3 linked regions of the Ovis aries genome follow. The protein of the gene in region 3 interacts with the protein of the main gene of each other region in a pairwise test. Links are inferred from orthologs where the notes say so. Each region holds a gene or a part of one and is shown on either strand. Other genes may lie near its edges.

Region 1 (4,337 bases), on a different chromosome or scaffold from region 3:
GGGGTAGGGTAAAGGCTGAGGGGAAGACAGGAAAAAAACAGTCCACAATGACATATAATGAAGTACTAAAAACAATTTGCAGGATGTCCATGGTAGTCCAGTGGTTAAGACTCCAAGCTTCCAATGCAGGGGGTGCAGGCTTGAGCCCTGGTCAGGGCACTAAGATCTGCTGGGCATGATTCCAAGGCGCATGGCCAAAGAAATTAATTAAATAAAACCAACATGCAATGTGATTAGGCTTCAAGGAAGGCTTATGTTAACCTTGGACCTTAAACCTTCATGAAAGCTCAGATACAAACTTTTTCAGCTGACCCATAAGAAAAGCACAACCATCTCTCTCTGGCATCAGAGAGAAGACACATTTACAGAGCTTCTTGAAGCAACCTTCACTCACTCTTCACACAATCCATGGCTACCAAGTGGAGTTTTAGGAGAGATAAAATGCCCAAGGAACTGGTACTGCCCAAATCTTTGTGTTCATCATGCTCTCCAGGTAATACATCATCTGGACCTTCATCCCATTTCTACCGTGTATCTATTCATCTGAACCAATTTAGAAAACCACTTCCACTCCATCCTTTCTGTAATGTGGAACTCACAGAAATTTCCTAATATTCTACTGTCCTAGGAAATAAATAGGATATATTTATTTTTCCTCATTCCTTAATTTCCTGCACAGACTCCTCAGTTTCTTGCCTGAACTGAAACCTGGCTATTTCCCTTGGGCTGCTTCTTCTGTAGTCCTCCTATGTGACAGCTATTTTCCTTTCATACCCACCTGGGGACCTGGAGGTTGTAAATATTTTCCGTGTTTGCCACTGCTGCTTCCAAACCACTTCTTCTTCCTCTACCTCCTCAAATCCCATTTCCTTTGAAGTTCATGCCATCAGGCTGTACTATTTGCTGCCACCCTCTCTCTGGTCTCAGGACAATTCTTCTTCACTCACTAATGACTTTAATACCTAGCTTAAAATATACTATCCAGCCTGACCTCCACAACCATCCGTATGGATGATTCATTTAACATCACAGTCCTTCAGTTCCTTAATCTCAACCTCAAACCTTCTACTTTATCTTGGTCTTAGCTTTGATTTTCTCGTCACCAAAAGTTGCATCACCTTTAAGCATCTGGCTCTCTGATTAGCCCTAACTTTCATCACCTCTATTTTAATACGTTCATTCCAGAAATTCTTATACACTATGAAGGCCTCTAATCTCTGCTTCTATTACTAATCCACCATAGTCAATTTTCCACATAGTAGCCAGAATGATGATTTAAAAAGGAAAATTAAATCATAGCACAACCCTATTTAAACCCTCTAATCACATTTATAATAAAATCCAAATTACCTACCCTGGCTTCCAAAGACTTCTAAGATTCTGAACTCTGTTCTCCAAATTTGTCCTGTACCCTTTCCCCATTATCCACTATACTTCAGCTACACTGGCCTTCTTCAGTTCCTTTATGCCAGCTGTTCCTGTTGATTAAATCAGCCTCTCTTCAATTATATCCTTAAAGAGATCTTCCTTGACCAATAATCGGAAGAAACCAGCAAGTCACTATTTTTCATAAAATCTTATTTAATTTTCTGCATATTTCTATTTAATCATTTTACTTCACTATTTACTAAATACCTATCTCAACTAGAATGTTTGCTCCATGAAAGAATCTGTCTGCCTTATTCATTGATTATCTCACAATTAGAATAGAATCAAGCACATAGCAGATGCACAATCAATACTGATTATTGAATAAATACAATGACTAGTACAAAATAAGAGCAGTAAGAGTGAAGAGGAAGAAAGACAGGGGTCACTTTTGCCTAGAATAATCAGTCAAGCATAATGCAAGAAGTGGCCACATTTTCAAAACACTTCAGGAGACAGAAATGAGGCAAAGGCATAAACAAACTATGCAACGTGTTAAGAAAAAACTGAACAGCCCAGATACAGAGCAGTAGGAGAAAGTGTTTTCTAGCACAGTTCTGGAAAATATGGCCGGATTAGTGCCAAACTAGGTAAAACACTTAATGCCCTGTCAGGGGCTTAGAATCCATTGAGTGGTTAATCGATGGCCACTGGAGGTGTCTGAGCAGGAAAATAACACAATCCTAAAAGATGTTTTAGTAAGATGACTGATAGTACTAGGCAGGATGAATCTGTTGAACAGTTAGAGAAGATCAAAAGCAACAAGATGTGATCAAGAGCTCAGCTGTAGGAACAAGATAGGAAAACATTCTAAGCTAGTGGCATAGGAGAACAATTTGAGAATACAACGATGAGGGAATTACGGCCAAGCATCCTAGTAAGAGTGGAACCGTGCTGAAGGGCAGCCAAGGAACCCACACAGAGTCGAGTTTCCATGCCACAGATGTGTCGATAAGCCTGCCGGGCGGACATGGAGAGGGCAGTTTGGCTGACCCAAGGCTTGGGAATTTGGGTTGTGGCTAAGGGCAGAGTCTAGCAGGATGTTAAAAAAGGACAGTAGCTCCTCCTGTTCCTTCCACCGCCAACGCTCCACCTAATTCACTCTTACTTCCTACTTCTGCCACCAACCAGCAGGACTGACTCCTGCAGCTTAGACTTCAGGCGCTTTCCAAAGCACCCCCGACACAGCCATTGGCTCCACCGGCGTCTTCTCCACCCACATCCCCGCCTAACTCAAGGCGCGATACTAGCTCACATCGCGCTCCTCTTGGGGACAGAGCGTCAGGGTCTCAATGCCGATACTGTCATCGCCCCCTGCACAAGCCCACGTGGCGCCAAGAAGCTCAGCCCAGTCTACCTCAAGTCCAGCTGAAGGGTTTCCTCCGCACCTCGCCGTGCGCATGCCCGGAAGCCATAAACTAGCTAGGCTCCGACAGAAGAGTATTTAAAGGGACAGGCTCCTACTTAAAGAAACGCCTCTCTGGAATTTTTGACTCAGTGAAGCGGCGAGGGGGAAGCGCAAAGAGGAAGGGGGCGGAGAGGGGCGGGGGCGGGACCTGACGGATTGGGCACGCCCCGGCCCTTCGTAGTGCCTGGGTCCTGAGGTCGCTGGCTCAGCCCTGCGGCGCCCCGTGCGCCCCTGCGCCCCGCGCCCGGGCAGGTAAGGGGTTCCGGACTTGCGCGCCACCTTCTCCGCGAAGTGTCCGAGGTCTGCGCCCTGGCCTCAGGGTTGTGGAGGGACTGCTCGGAAGGAAAATCCCTTCAGCGCACGTGAGAAAAGTTAGAGGGGAAGTAGGTTGCGTGGGCAGCGCCTGCTCCAGGGTAAAGATTTGGGTGGGTCCCTAGGGATTGGAAAATTGGTGGGTCCTCCATTGGAGGACCGTGGGGCGAAGAGAAGCGTCACTCGGTGGTCGGACCCCGCCTCGAGTTTCTCAACTCCCGAGCTATGTGTTCCGAGAACCCTGTTTACGAAATGAAATCTCTTTTCCTCAGAACCAGGAAGTAGGACCAGCACCCAACAAAGATGCTGACCGCGTGGAAAGCATTCTAAACCCCCCCCCCCAAAATTCTAATTAGCTAGTTTCTCAGGCTTCCAGGAAATTAGAAAGTGGAGCGGCATTGTCAGTACGTTATCAGATGGGGAAAGGGTACCGACAGCCTGGAAACGAGAGGGAGCCAAGGGATGAAAAGCAACCTCAGAAAGCATTTTAGCCATTTAGGATGGGATGCTGGGGAAGATTGAAGGCAAAAGAAGGGGTGGCAGAGGAACAGATGATTGGATAGCATCACCGACTCACTGGACATGAATTTGAGCAAATTCCCAGAGATAGTGGAGGATAGAGGAGCCTGGGGGGCTATTTGGGGTCGCAAAGAGTAGGACGGGACTTAGCAACTGAACAAGTGCCTCAAAAACGTCTCTGCCTTAAGAGCTGAGAGCAGAGGATATTCAGATTTGCCTTTTCCCTTTCTGAGGGTAATCCTTGACGAGACCTGTCAGAAAGTTAAGATTTCTTTTTACTTTTGTTTGCGTGCTAAACGTTCATTTGACGTTTGCTTACCCCTGTGCAAACAGAAATCCTGAACTTCCAGGCTAAACATGCTCCTTTCACAGTCTTCTCCATCTTATTGTAAAGGTCAGGAAGGGGGCGGAGAGGGCCGGAACCACGGGCGTCTTCTCCACCCCCATCCCCGCCTAACTCAAGGCGCGATACTAACATACATCGCGCTCCTCTTGGGTACAGACGGTCAGGGCCCTTTCACAGTCTTCTCCATCTTATTGTAAAGGTCAGGAAGCTTGTTCAAGCCAGAAACCTTGGTGCCAACTTGTCACTCTTCATAGCAGCATACAGGATTCTGTGTGATTTCTGAGGTTTCTACCTCAGAAAATATCCATCATCTTAGGAATTCTA
Region 2 (4,217 bases), about 18 Mb from region 3:
TAAACAAAAAGATCAGTGGTTGCCAAGGGCCAGAGAGAGGTGGGGAGGAGGAGTGACTACTAATGGCTATGAGGTTTCTTTTGGGGTGATGAAAATACTCTGAAATTAGTGTTGATGGTTGCACAAAACCATTTATACTCTAAATGAATGTACTAAATACCACCAAATTATACACTTCAAAAGGGTGAATTTTTATGATATGTGAATTATCTCAATAAAGCTGTTATTTTACAGAAGGATGTTTAATTCGTTTTGAACTTGAGGCTATTTTACTACATAAAATTCCTATTTGCTGTAATTAAGGTTGCTGGATCATGATCAAAGAAACTGAAAGTCATCTGCTATCGTTTTGAATTTTTACCTTTCAATTTGCAAAGGGGAAGCTAGTCTCACTTCTAAGTTGCCATGGACCTAGACAGTTATCTGTGTCATTTCTCCACCCAGACAGTTTTTCTTCACTATACCCGAAAGAATACAAATGCAAAAGTTCTATTCTTGAGAAAATGTACTAATATTCTCCTTACATCAAAGCACTTTCTCTCTAAAAGAATTTTGATTTTCTCCCATAACCAAGGGCTCCTAGGGCTTCTTGCTAAAAGTGCATAGTTGAACAATATTTCTCTTCAACAAGCAAGGTACTAAACACCATTATGAATCATGGCAACACTTTAATGTCTTAAGATAAATAATGAACATAAATACCTCTTATTGGAATAAGGATCAGAGAAGTATTCTTTTAAATGTATACTTTCTCTAATAATAACAGAAATACTTAGTATTTATTGAGCAACTATAAATAAACATTGTTTTATTTTATTTTTTTTTTAATTTTAAAATCTTTAATTCTTACATGTGTTCCCAAACATGAACCCCCCTCCCACCTCCCTCTCCATAACATCTCTCTGGGTCATCCCCATGCACCAGCCCCAAGAGGTGCTTTACAAATAGGATGTTTAATTCAATCCACAATGGAATCTTGAAGAAAGTATTTTTATCCTCTTTTCACAGATAAGGAAACTGAGGCTTAAAGAGATTAATTCTCCTTGATCACACAGATAACACTCCAATAATAATCCAAAGCTTTCAGAACTCAAATGTTCTCTCCTCTATCCTTTCATATTCCTCTTCAAAATGAAAAAGGAAGCCACAAACTTAAAGAAACTGAAAAGATCCCTCTTCCTATCTCACAAAAAATAGTGCTCTGCAAAAAAGATGACTGCTTCTACAATCCAAAAGAGGAAACACAGAAAATAAAAACTGTTAGTAACAATCAGCAGTTGGTAGGCACAAAAAAGATTATGCCATATCCCACATATCAAATACTGCTTCCTGATTTAACAGTTTTCCTATAGATCTAACTTTTGATGTCAAAATTTAATGATCTCACCATGGAAAACCCCGGAGAACAGCAGTTAGCAAGACTGGAGAGCTCCCTAGACCAGGAAGGAAAAGGAATCAGTAGGCAGGAAGTAGTGCCTATCTAAAAACATAAAAGTCTTTAGCATTAACACTGTTATTCCACAACATTTCAATCTGAAGTTATTTCTGAATTCCCTTACCCTATTTTTTTTTACTATATTAAGAAAAACTGATCCCTGACTGTCTAACAGGATCCTATCAATAAATAAGTCCACCATATAGCCACCACTGACCCTGATTTCTCTCTTGCTATTGATAAAACAAACCAAAAAAGCTACAGGTTTAAAGGGTTATCCCTTTATCAGTCAGCCAGGAAGGGTAGCACATGGGGTACAATCAATCATGAATTTCATCGTCAAACAGACTGTGGCTGGCTGAAATCTTAAATTTAAGATTGAAACATACACTCCTCCTTTTACTTCTCAGCACTACCCCCAAACAAATTGAAACTATAAACCAATAGTAGACTGACGAATGGACAATTGTTAAAGAGTCTCAACGTATACCAAAAAGGGGTGGGACGGGAGTGGAGATTATCTTAGAAATAATCTGTTCTCCACCTAAACAACTCTAGAATGAAAGAATTTAATGCATTTGCACAAGAAGCATTACCAGGCAGAGGAGAAGAGGCCACTGGGGTATGACAAATCCTTAGAAAATGCTAAAGAAATCATCTCGATCCTAAGTTATCCTGTAATAGTTCCTAATGGGAAAGGACCAACTCAAGATATCTTAAAGTGAGGTCGAGTTGAAGAATTTCCCTCACTTTTCTTATCCCCCCGCCCCCTCCACCCCGCCCCCCGGCAGACGGTCTCAAGCTCCCACCAGAACCTCTCTAGGAGTCCAGGAGAAATATTCGTACGTGCAGGGGCGAGGGGCAAGTGAAGGGGCCATCCTCGTGCAAACAACCACCTGTGCGTGGTGAAGACCCCTGCCCTCTCAAGTAGGAGTTCTTCTTAAAGTGAGAAGCAGCTCTGAGGACAGCCTTCCAAACCCAGAACCGACACTGATTACTCACTCAACTCCACTGTCCCCTATGCGCGGACTCCGGCCACCTCCCGGCTGAGGGAAGCCCCTCAAGAGCCCGACGCCCCCGGACCCGGGTCTGGTCCCACACCCAACCATCTCCAAAGCTCGCCGCCCACTCCTTTGCCTGACAGCCGTCCTGCCGCCACCAAGCAGTCCCAGCTCCCCCCCGCCCCACGCCCAGGTTCTCCAAACCAGCATTCTCGGATCGCTGGCGCCCCAGGCCCGCGGGAATTAGGGCTTAGGATTTAGAAGGGTTTGATCCAATCTCCTCTTCCTCTCAGCGTCCTGGGCTCACCTCCCCGGCAGCTTGGCGCTCCTCTTCCAAAACTGCTTGCTATTCTCGGCGGCCATTGCTCCGGCCCGGGGAAGGCTTTGTAGGCGGGCCAGGGGCTACCCAGCGAAATGCCCCCAGGACCCCGCAATCGCAGGGCCAGCTCAGGCCGCTTCCCCGCTGCCGGTCACCCGCTCCCAGCTCCCGGGGGCGCCATCTTGGATGTGGGCACCCCCCAACCCAGCGCCGCTGCCATTGGTGGGCTGCGCAGGCTGTGGGAGACGGACCAATCGGGAGCCAGAATCCTGCAGGCCGCTGAAGCCGAACAGTGACGTCAGGGGCTGGGCACACAGGTGAACCGAGAAGGCGGAGCTTGGACGAGGTGGGAGGCGGGGCTGAAAGTTCTTTCTCCTGGGCCGGGGAAGAAGCAGGTAAAGAAAGGGACCTCTGGGAAGAAGGAGAAGGTGCTGTTTTCTTTGGGGGTAATGAGGTTATTGAGTCAAATATTTTTTGAAAAGAGCATATATACTTAGGTATATAAATCTTTGACCTAAATATAAGGGCCCATGTATTGGTTGCTGCCCATTTTTAACATCTCCCAATTCAATGACACTCTGGTTATTATCCTTCCCACTCCCCTCTTTCCGTTCGGAATCTGATTTTTTCAATCGGTGGAGGAAAATCAATAACTGACCGGACGGTCCAGAGTTGCTAACTGTTCAACACAACACGTGACTAACGGTTGGTTCATAAGAGCCTCTCTCTCCTCAGATAATTGATCCCCGTGAAAGGACTTGTGCCATGCTTGAAATTCAGATGATCAAATCTCTGTTTCAACCAATAACCGTCACTTTCTGACCAAGAGAACCTAGATGCGGACAAACTGTTCAGGAAATAACCTTCTTTTATCTGTCCAATTCAGACCGCCAATGGACATCTTTAATCCCTTATTAATCTACTATAAATCTTCACCCTTGATTTTATTTTCGATCTAGTTTTGACTCAGAATGAGATCTAATATTAGCATTTTGAATCCTTTGAAAGTCTTGTCGGTGTTTTTTGCCCTTTTTGAGTTTCTGTGCTTGTGTACCACAGTGATGGGGCCGGGAGAGGGCAGGAAGCAGACCCTAGTCCACATAATTTCTATCCCATCAAAGGACTCTTGAAGTGGGCTGATTGTTCCTCACCCGTCACTCCTGGTTATTGCTATCACAGTCCTTCCACATATTGGAAGGTCTAAAGGATCTTTTTTTTTTTAATATAAATTTATGTATTTTAATTGGAGGCTAATTACAATATTGTAGTGGTTTTGCCATACATTGACATGGATCCGCAATGGTTGTACGTGTGTTCCCCATCCTGAACCCCTCTCCCACTTCCCTCTAAAGGACCTTTTTAAATAGGCCTGCTAATGGCGTCTTCCTACATAGACATTACCCCCATTTTTAAGTTGTTTTTGTCCCCTAATTTCACAATCATGAGATTGCATGAAAAGGAC
Region 3 (3,646 bases):
TGACAGTCTTTCATGGCTCCCACTTGCAGTGAAGTCCTACCAGGCTTCTCATCTCTTACTTTATCTGCCATCTTCACAAGCACTCATGTGCTCCAGCCAGACTCCATCATTTGCCTTTCCACTCTTTGGTCCATGGCATTTCTTCTGCCTGGAAAGCTCTCCTGTTCTTTGACCATAAAGTGAACCTCTAGTCATCCTTCAAGACTCTTTGTGAACACTGCTTCTGAGAACTGTATCAGCTTCTGCTGAATGCTGTCACCCTCGTTGTGCTTAACTAGCCATGATGACATGTATCACATGAACCTGACTCTCACTTGACTGAGTTCCTTGAGAGCAGAGACTGTGGGTTTTTTTTGTTTGTTTTTTCAGACTGCCTTGGTTATCACTGGGGTAATTCAGTTCTCTGCCATTGTATATCCAGTCAGTAAACATTGGAAAAGAATAAGTGAGTGAACAAGATGCTTGTATACTGGGATGAAATAATGAGGTCTTGGGGTAGATAGACAGGGGAGAAATGTGAAGGGCTCTAGAAGCAGCCTTTCCTCTCTTCACTGCCCTTCCCTGTGGTCTACACAGAGCCTGACCCAGATGGAGAGGGAGAAGATTGTTTGGGAGTTTGAGCAGCTGTATCACTCCTTGAAGGAGCATGAGTATCGCCTTTTGGCCCGTCTCGAGGAGCTAGACTTGGCCATTTACAACAGTATCAATGGTGCCATCACTCAGTTCTCTTGCAACATCTCCCACCTCAGCAACCTGATTGCCCAGCTGGAAGAGAAGCAGCAGCAACCCACCAGGGAGCTCCTGCAGGTAAGACTGAAAGTCCTCTGCCAAGCAGTATCCAGGGCCCCCTACTCCCTTGTTGAAACTCTGATTGTAGCAAGGGCATGTTAGAAGGGAAATGTACAGTAGAGGCCCTGGTTGGCACAGCTTGGGTCAGTCAGTTGCACCGTGTCGTGGAAAGGTCAAAAGGAAGACCTGTCCTGCTCAAGCCTGTTCTGCACTGATAAGTGGTCTGATCACAGGCAAGGCTCTTGACCTCTCTGGGCCTCAGTGAACTCAGTTACTCATGTAATGAGGAATTTGGCCCACATGTCATTTAAAGATTCTCCTCACCCCAGTATCCTATAATTGTAACATGTATGTGCGCACTATGACAACCACAAAATAACAAGTGGTCAGCCCAAGCAGTCTTGGGATTTAATCTTGGTTGTATGAGTGATAAAGCTGCAGTAGACCCAGCTCAGCAAGACCACAGGAAATGAGCTGATTGTTTGTCTGTTGTTTGTTCATTCAGTGCGTATGAATTTTCTGTTCTGGGTCAAGCACTGGAATTAAGTGGATAAATAAGCTCTCCTGAAATTTAAATTCTGATGTCAAGATCATATGATAAAGAAGTGAACAAACAAGTTATCATCAGTGTTGCCATTAAAAAAGGGCTGATGGGTTTAGGGTCAAGAAACTATGGGCCACCACCTGTGTTTGTGTGTCCTGCGAGCTCATTGTGCTTTTTAGTTTTGAATAGTTGGGGAAGAAAAATCAGAAGAATGTTTGTTATTTTGTGATATGTGAAATTGCATAAAATTCAAGCTTCATTGTCCATACACTATTATTAGAACGTAGCCCATTTATTTGTTTTGTATTCTCTGTTGCACCAGAGTTGAGTAGTTGTGCCAGAGACTCTATGGCCTTTTTCTTAGAAAAAGTTCAACAACTCTTACTTCACATTAAAAAGAGAAGGCTTAATCTTGAGCTTAATGAACACCAATATTTAATTGTTAGAGAAGGAAGAGCTTGCAGGGGGAATAGTTTACCAGAGAGGCAATATGTGATCAGGGAGGAAGAATGTTTCTGGAAGGAGGCAGTGGACAACAGAGTCTAATGCAGTTGAGGTGAAATAATATGAAGGCTGAGAGCCATTTGGTTTAAAACATGACCATCCTTGATAAACTTTTGTAGAGCTGCCCGAGTGGAGCAGTCTGGGCAGGAACCACGTGAGGAGAAGTTGTATTGACCGAGTGAATGGAAGCTGCGAGAGTAAATGACTATTTCAATAAATAAGGCTGAGGAAGAGATAAAAAGAAAATACTTGGAGATGAGGTAGAATTGTGGGGCTTTATGGGAAGAGGATGCTTAAAGAAACCAGTTAAAGATATCTTTAAAAAAAAATGTGGAGAGGAGCATCTGTTGTAAAGATTCAGGTGAAGAAAATTTACTGAAGCTCTAAGGATGAACTCATCTCTGATGTGCTGTTTCTGAGAAGGCAGAAGGAAGGGTAACTGAAGCATGTAGGAGGGACTTAGCTTTGAAATATCCTCTGTTGTATAAGAAGAAAGGAGGGTGGGGACAGGTAGATGCAGCAGGTTGTGAGGACTGGTAGCAAAAACGTCTTGGCTTCTATCCTCTTTGGCTGCCATTGTGCAGGGGTTAGAGAAAATAATGAGTTTGAGGATTGTGGGAAAGTTCTGGAATTATTGTTTCAGAGTATGGGAAAGCAAATTGGTTCGCAAGACATAGTCGAGTTATTTGGTCAGTGAACGTCAGTTTATATCAGAATTTGTCTGTCCAGGTGTGTGACTTTTTCCCGTCCCGGCTTTGCTTTCTATGATTGTGACTGTTCTGGTTCCAGGCCTAGGGAAAGCTGGTAGTTGGGGTCATCCAGGGTTAGGACTTTGCAAGATGTGAGGGTTTTTGTTTGTTTGTTTTTGGCCTTGCCGCACTATTTGTAGGATCTTAGTTCCTTGACCAGGGATTGAACCTGGGCCCATGGCAGTGAAAGCACAAAATCCTAACCACTGAACCGGTCAGGGAACTCCCCCTGTTCTGGCTTTTTGATTAGGATAAAATATACATAACATAAATTAACTGTTTTAACCATTTCAAAGTGTACAACTTGGTACATTTAGTAAACGTAATGTTATCCAACCATCATAGCTGCATAGTTCCAGAACACATTCATCATCTCAGAAGGAGACCTTGTACCCATTAAACAGTCACTCCTCATCCCATTCTACCCAGTGGCAACCATGGGTTTGCTTATTTTTTTAAGGTATTTGTGAGAATATTTCTGAACACATGGACCATGAAATCAAAACTGGATGATAAAGAAAAGTAGAGAAAGAAGAGGGCAAGTTGTGGACTCCATGGGGGAGAGTGGTCATGGTAGAAGTCATTTGAAAAGTAAACTGAATCTTAACGTGGAGAAGGAGAACATTCCCACTAAGGTCAGGAACAGGGCAAGATGGCCACTGTTGTCTAACTGTATTTTAACGTATGGACACAGAGGAATGTTATGCAACTATAAAAAAAGAAAAAGGAAGATACCTATGATATAACTGATAAAGAGGAGTTTCTATAATGTATTGGGAAGTGAAAAAAATCAAAGTGCAAAATATAGATTATGCTTTTTGTGTAAGAAAGAAGAGATAATTAGAAAATACATGTATCTGTAGGTATTTGCAAGGTAAACACTGGAATGATAAACCAGATAATAATTTGGAGAATGAGATGAGAAGAGATAGGAAAAAAGTGACAGATTCTCTGACCAAGTCTCAGATTTTTTGAGCGCCGAAATTGTTAAGAATAGTGATGAGTTATAACCCATTGAATAAAGTAGGAATTGATGGTTCCATACTAATAATAAATTAGG

Evidence for each region.
Region 1: the proteins of TRIM27 (region 3) and PUS7L interact in binary tests that used the Homo sapiens proteins (3 or more experiments, as listed by UniProt). The two-hybrid records come from large-scale screens. The link is inferred for Ovis aries from reciprocal best matches to the Homo sapiens genes TRIM27 and PUS7L.
Region 2: the proteins of TRIM27 (region 3) and TBC1D22B interact in binary tests that used the Homo sapiens proteins (3 or more experiments, as listed by UniProt). The link is inferred for Ovis aries from reciprocal best matches to the Homo sapiens genes TRIM27 and TBC1D22B.

The regions. Positions count from the first base shown.
Region 1 is NC_056056.1:142,993,919-142,998,255, reverse strand, and holds the start of PUS7L (pseudouridylate synthase PUS7L), read right to left. Parts: upstream 2,823-4,337; 5' UTR 2,786-2,822; exon of another isoform or gene 779-2,785; intron 1-778. UniProt on the Homo sapiens protein: Pseudouridine synthase that catalyzes pseudouridylation of mRNAs.
Region 2 is NC_056073.1:11,213,371-11,217,587, reverse strand, and holds the start of TBC1D22B (TBC1 domain family member 22B), read right to left. Parts: upstream 2,823-4,217; 5' UTR 2,800-2,822; coding exon of another isoform or gene 2,744-2,799; 5' UTR 2,647-2,743; coding exon 2,438-2,646; intron 1-2,437. UniProt on the Homo sapiens protein: May act as a GTPase-activating protein for Rab family protein(s).
Region 3 is NC_056073.1:29,121,741-29,125,386, forward strand, and holds part of TRIM27 (zinc finger protein RFP), read left to right. Parts: intron 1-576; coding exon 577-807; intron 808-3,646. UniProt on the Homo sapiens protein: E3 ubiquitin-protein ligase that mediates ubiquitination of various substrates and thereby plays a role in diffent processes including proliferation, innate immunity, apoptosis, immune response or autophagy.